Saccharomyces cerevisiae S288C: one gene and its partner. The protein of the gene in region 1 interacts with the protein of each later gene in a biochemical or structural test. Each region holds a gene or a part of one and is shown on either strand. Other genes may lie near its edges. The genes, in order: ELF1 and CKA2.

Region 1 (3,253 bases):
TGGGCTGAAAACTACGGCGTTTATTTTTTAGATAGGTTATTCCTTCGTTGGATTGAGTAAGAAAATGTCGATACTGTGTTACGTTTGCAAGGAAAAGATTTAGTTGCGATTAGCCATTCATTCTTGTGGAAACTTCTTTAAAAAGGGATGGCGATGGAGTACTTATGTCCAATTATGAAGTCAAATTTATTTTCAAACCGTTACACGTAGATTATTTTCCTGCAGTGGTAAGTATCTTTGAAGTGTTGAAAGTTTTTTGGCACATATTTTTTTGCGGATGTGGGCCTGAGTTTCCTGTTAGAAACAAAGATATGCTTAAAACTAAATAACATTGGAAATTAGGGCATAGTCTTCAATGTTATACTTAAACATCACAGCAGGAGATTGAGATGATTGAAAGAATGGTGCAAGAAATGATTCATTAACATTCTTCCAAGTTTTGCAATATTTGCAAGTATTACTATCAGACTTTAGTTGAAGTGACTATGCTATTACCAAATTTCACTGGAGCCAGAAAAATAAAGATCACTTAGAGACAAAGAAAAGTAACATCTTCAACATAAGCCGGAGCTCAAAAGTAGGAAATCGGATAAGAAACTTGATTCTGTTATTTCAAGTGATTTTTTGCTGTATCGCCCACGTTCTTGTTGTAGATGTTTTGTAGATGTGGGACCGAAAGTAAGTGAACAGTGAAGTAAACAGAATAGGATTCTAAAAAAGAGCTTATAAACTGTTCTTTAAAATTTTTTCTTTCGTGAATGTCCTCGAGCTATCTCAAAGAAAACGAAATCTTCATTCAACTTAAGTGTAGGTATTATTTGCTGTTTCATCAAATGCGGCACCAAAGTGGAAGTATTCTAGTCAGTTAGTTTTTCATTGTGAGGAATTGATATGTCGTTCTCTGATAGAACCACGCTAAGTTGGTGTTCAATTTTTTGCAATTCGGTAGTAATTATGCCTTGCAACATGTTTTATTCTTTTATAGTGTGATACCGTCAATATGATGATTTGCGGTGGAGCATGCATGTGCTTACTAGAAGTGCTGCTCTGGTGGGCATTTTAGGGACAAGAATAAATTCTTCTCTCCACTATCTGAACTTCCGTTATTCTTCTGCACGTAATTGCCGTTTTTAGGATTTTTTGGAGTTGTCACGGTATAGATATGTCTTATTGCGTGATTTCACGGTGTCTTGCACACAACATTTCCAGGTCACAATATTTGGTTCGAGGTTCCCAGCAAGAATTCATTATCCTTTTCAATGTGTCGCATTAAATCATTATCCAAAAACAAAAGAACTTAAGAAGTACAAAAGACACTTGAAGTATGCTAGCGTAAGAAATACGGTAACCAATATTTATATGTAACATGCTTATTCTGTCATGATTTCACAGTTCAAACTACATTCCTATTCAAAATCATCGCGTTAGTGAGACAAAATCGGTGGGAGAGATGTTAGACAAAAAGATGACAACATTGGAAATAAACCACGACGAAAAATACCTTTGAAAGGATCTTTTTTCGATTTTCCTGTGAATTTGTAGGCTTTTGATGGTACGAGGGTAAACCAAACTGGACGGGAAATCACCATTATTAGTCCTATGTAGAGCCTCGTCACCATACCTATATAAACATAACTATTCTTTTAAGTACTTAAACGGCTTTTTTCTGAAACAAATAGCCAATGTTTTCATAACGAAGATTCCAAAGTTACTTAACGCTCTTCAGGCACTTCCTTATTTATTATGACACGTACAAAATAATAAATTCGTAGTTATAAGATTATCTTATCATATTTAAAATATCTCTTCTTTCAGTTGAAATTGGGCCCAAAATTTTTACCCCATAGCGTTAAAATTAAACAAAAACTGCTATTTCGGTGACAAATTGTAAAAATTCTGAAAACGGAAGAAACAAAAACGTTTAAAATGATTAAACTTTGGTAAAGCAATAATCTACAAATAATTGGAAAAGGAATAGTAATAAAGATGGGGAGAATTATGAAGAAGAATGTCATAAAAAACACTGAAAACAATTAACGAGCCATGGGTAAAAGAAAGAAGTCAACAAGAAAGCCTACCAAGAGACTGGTCCAAAAATTAGATACGAAATTCAATTGTTTATTTTGTAATCATGAAAAATCAGTTTCATGCACTCTGGACAAAAAAAATAGTATAGGAACTTTATCGTGCAAGATTTGTGGGCAGTCGTTCCAAACGCGCATAAATTCATTATCACAGCCTGTTGATGTATATAGTGATTGGTTTGACGCCGTCGAAGAAGTCAATTCTGGCCGTGGAAGTGACACAGATGATGGTGACGAAGGTTCTGATAGTGATTACGAAAGTGATTCAGAGCAAGATGCTAAAACGCAAAATGATGGCGAAATAGATTCTGATGAAGAGGAGGTAGACTCGGACGAGGAGAGGATAGGCCAAGTTAAAAGAGGCAGAGGCGCCTTGGTAGATAGTGACGATGAATAATCCGGTCCTGAGAAAAAACCATATTTACTTAGGTCATATATATTTTATATTTTAAAGCAACCACCCGTAAGCATTTAAGTCTCTTAAGCCAACAAATCGCCTCGCCATCTTAATCATCGTCATCAGTATCGAATATAGATTTTGGTGGGAAAGCGGTTTTAACGTGGTCCGCTAATTGCATCTGTCCATTTCCATCGTTCGTGGGACATCTATCAATGGTAATTGCGCCCACCTTTGATTTCAATAACGTGAAAGTACCATTGTTATTTTTGTCTGGATTATTAGGCAATAGTTGGCTAGCTTCCAACCGCTGCTGCTGGTCCTGTTGTATATGACTTTGTATATGCCTTTGTGGCGCATCCTCACATTTGCTGAAATCGAATTCGGGAGGTGGTGATGCTGGGGGCGATATCAGGAACATTTTTTCACTCTCTGGTACCTTCAAGTATTGTTTAGTTAAATTCCTTTGTCCGTCTTGCAAGGAGTAGCTGAAGTTAAAATTTTCCATTTCTAAAGCACGAGACGCATCCATAACATGCTGAGATATATCATGACTGGGGCAGATCAACAGTATTCTTTTAAACCTTTTCAAAATAATCAACTGTAGTGGTTCATTTTCATTGATTTGAAACTTCCTTAAGATATTCTTGGATAGCCAAACCTGGATTCTTTCAACATTATCATTATCAACAATGTCGCACTTATCCGAGGTTATAATTATCGTATCCGTTATAATATTACCCATCTGCAGTTCTGTGTTTTATATATCGGT
Region 2 (3,825 bases), on another chromosome or scaffold:
CATGGCTGTTAACGTTTAAAGCGTTTAGGTCGACAATCTTAGGCAATATTCCTTTATAGCCAGATCCCGGAATCTTTTCTTCGAATGTATATTTCAATTTGTTGTCAAAATCTATAAATGGGTCGCAATCCGTAATAAACGCCGTATAGAAGGCTACCGTACGGTCATTTTTGACATTCGCAAACGCTATCCTCCATTTAAATAGCGAGAGTGCTTCAAGGTACTCACCCTGGCTCAATTTCACCAATATATTGTTACTAGAATTTGCGATAAACATTTCTCTCCCGCTTTTACCTAAAATAGTAGATCCCAAGGTCCTCAGCGCACTATATAACGCACTTTTATATGCTATGCCCGTAGGATTGTAAAACTCTACCCCCAAATGAGGCGTTGCCATTGTAATGAATAATTGTGGTTCAATATCCTCGAACAGTTCTTTAAATTCGGTCAACATCTTACCGATCATAAATCGGGCCACTAATCCGCCTTGCGAATATCCCATTACGCTTAGTTTGGTGATTTTCCCGTCTTTATAATCTCGGATAAATTCACAAACTTCAATCAATGTCCTGTACCCAATGATTTCGATACCATCAAACGTCTTAAACATGGCATTCTGCTTTGGTAAAAAATATATCATATCATCGTTAACATCTTCCTTTTTTAATGTAGTGGATAAAATTGTCCTCATAGATTCCATATGAGTATAGTTACCCCATAGCCCGTGAATCAGCACAAAAAGGTGTTTATCCGAAGTCATCTGAAGCGCTGTATAATATATATGGTTGATCACACGAAGTTTTCTACCGATTATTGCAGTAAAGAGTTGCCACCCTTTCTTTATTATCTTTGTTTTTCATTTTGATCTTATATACTGAAAATCCCCGTTGATCATGATTTGGTAAAGAGCTTCAGAAGAGTTTCCACAGTTTCCTGCAATGATTCAAACGAAACCTCTTCACCAGATCCCATCGAAATGCGTTTTAATTCATCCCTGTGCGTAAATTCAGCTGCATCAAACGTTATCTTGTATAACTTTTGATAGTCTGTAATAGAATTAGAAATACCTCGAAGTCGGAGGCCACCCAAAATTAGCTTGGACAAAGTTTCATTGAATTGAAGCCGTTTGTCATTAATATGCACGTTGCGATACACTTCCGTTTTCGTTCCGATCTTCCTTTGTTGAGATTGTTGTATTATTATATCAATACTACCTTCCTTTGATACGGAGGCCCTTGTCTTTCCAATATCTTGCTTCAATTTGGTGACCTGGCCATCAAACTCATGCTTCATTGTTAGATCCACTTGAAAGCAGTTTAACTCTGTGTTCTCTCGAAATATAATCAAGTATGCTGGCTCCTGCGATCGCTGATCGACCTTGTCAAACAATTCAATGACAATGCCACGATTCGCGTTCCTTAGTTTTGATTTGAAGTAAGCCTGTGCGGTTGCACTGGTACTATAACATCTATATGTATTCATATTTGTGGAGCGGACCCACAAAGGCAGTTTTGCGAGATCTACATACTGAATGAATTGTCCCCTCAACTCTGAAGTTGATTTACTTGCTGTAGGTCGATTGCTCCAAAGTTGGATATCCCTAATGACCAAACTTCCCTGCTTTCCGCTAAGAGTAAAATTTAGTGTGCATAATTTCCGTGACATCAAAAGTCAGGCGAATTGGTGAATGCTGTCCCCTTTCAAGGCAGTCTATCATTTCTTAGTTACCTGCCAACAGGCCTTTATCAGGCCTCAAAGAAAAAAATTTCCTTGCGTAGCCCGCTTTTCGCCCGAACCTGGCAAAGCAAACAGACGATCGAAAAATTTCCAACGATCTTATCTAGGTGGAAGTTATAAAAAGAAGAATAAAGCATCGTCAACCTTTTTAACCTGAATTGGGAAACAACGGGCACACACATTTGTTGGAGTTTGTATGATTGCTAAAAAATAAAAAGTAATTAAAAAAACATCATAGAGTTGTAAGGTCTCAGGGAAATAGAAGGAACAATAAACCTAAAAGAATAGAAGAAACAGAATGCCATTACCTCCGTCAACATTGAACCAGAAATCTAATAGAGTCTACTCTGTAGCTAGGGTGTACAAGAATGCCTGCGAGGAGAGACCACAAGAATACTGGGACTACGAACAAGGGGTGACCATCGATTGGGGAAAGATTTCCAATTACGAAATTATCAACAAAATTGGAAGAGGGAAATATTCCGAAGTGTTCAGCGGTAGATGTATTGTAAACAACCAGAAGTGTGTTATTAAAGTTTTAAAACCAGTTAAAATGAAAAAAATTTATAGAGAGTTGAAAATTCTGACCAATCTAACAGGCGGCCCCAATGTTGTTGGCCTTTATGATATAGTACAAGACGCTGACTCCAAAATACCTGCTTTGATCTTTGAGGAAATCAAAAATGTTGATTTCAGAACTTTATATCCTACATTCAAACTTCCTGACATCCAGTATTATTTCACGCAATTATTGATTGCGTTAGACTACTGTCACTCCATGGGCATAATGCACAGAGACGTAAAGCCTCAGAATGTCATGATTGATCCTACGGAACGTAAACTAAGGCTGATCGATTGGGGCCTGGCGGAGTTCTACCATCCAGGTGTAGATTACAACGTTCGTGTCGCTTCGCGTTACCACAAGGGACCAGAACTTTTAGTAAACTTGAACCAATATGACTACTCCCTAGACTTATGGTCAGTAGGATGCATGCTAGCAGCTATTGTCTTCAAAAAAGAACCTTTTTTCAAAGGGTCGTCTAATCCAGATCAACTGGTAAAGATTGCCACAGTACTAGGAACCAAGGAACTGTTAGGCTATTTGGGTAAGTACGGGTTGCACTTACCATCTGAATACGACAACATTATGAGAGACTTTACAAAAAAATCGTGGACACACTTTATAACCTCCGAGACCAAATTAGCTGTTCCTGAAGTGGTTGATTTAATCGACAATTTATTAAGGTATGACCATCAAGAAAGATTAACAGCAAAGGAGGCTATGGATCATAAGTTTTTCAAAACGAAGTTTGAATAATTGGACAACAATACTCTTAGCAAGGCAATTCTTTTTCCACCACTGATTTCCATTTATAAAAAGCAGGGGTTTTCCTTTTTTGTAGCTTGATATTAGAGAATATCCTTAATGTGAATATTAAATTGCAAACTCTATTTAACAACGAATGTAGATTATTATATGACCAGAAAATCACTTTATATAGATATAAGAGCCTTCCGTAATGCTATGCAAGTTTTGATGAATTATTATATTGTCGTGAGGCGTGTTCCGAGGAGTTTCGTCGCCATTGGGATAGAGATGCTCGTAATCGTACGTGTCTGGAAGTGCCTGCCGACGGTAGCGATGTCTACTCTCGTCCCAGACAATGGAATAGTTTTGGAATTGTTCTACATCATTTATTAGAACACATGATTCACGAAATCTCCCACGTTTGTCAATATCTCGCCTACGAACAGTGTCATCGAATGATATTGAACGCTGAGAGAGCCATTTACCTTTTGAGTAAAATACGCTGCCTTTTTTCAGCAATGAAGAAGCACTTCCCTCCTTTCTTACATCCAATAATTGCTTCCCTTGTTCCTTTATATTCCCCATAGGAAAGTCCGTTGGAGTAGGTTGCTCTCTTTCATGTATTCCAACCAGATCAGGTCCGTAAAGAACAGTAACGTCTATTTCTTTATTCCAGTTTATGCTTAGTGGATCAATTTTGTATTCATCTAAATTGAAGTGCTTTATGGACCACCTCCTCCATATACAATGATACAACCTAGCCATATATATGCTATAGT

Evidence for each region.
Region 2: of the proteins of ELF1 (region 1) and CKA2, one has a biochemical effect on the other in vitro, tested with the Saccharomyces cerevisiae proteins (3 studies listed by BioGRID, with this or other methods).

The regions. Positions count from the first base shown.
Region 1 is NC_001143.9:151,226-154,478, forward strand, and holds ELF1 (Elf1p), read left to right. Parts: upstream 1-2,043; coding exon 2,044-2,481; downstream 2,482-3,253. Other genes in the region: RCN1 (Rcn1p), read right to left, coding at 2,591-3,226. UniProt on the Saccharomyces cerevisiae protein: Transcription elongation factor implicated in the maintenance of proper chromatin structure in actively transcribed regions.
Region 2 is NC_001147.6:439,499-443,323, forward strand, and holds CKA2 (casein kinase 2 catalytic subunit CKA2), read left to right. Parts: upstream 1-2,035; coding exon 2,036-3,055; downstream 3,056-3,825. Other genes in the region: LPL1 (putative hydrolase), read right to left, coding at 1-760; SLD7 (Sld7p), read right to left, coding at 892-1,665; YOR062C (uncharacterized protein), read right to left, coding at 3,227-3,825. UniProt on the Saccharomyces cerevisiae protein: Catalytic subunit of a constitutively active serine/threonine-protein kinase complex that phosphorylates a large number of substrates containing acidic residues C-terminal to the phosphorylated serine or threonine.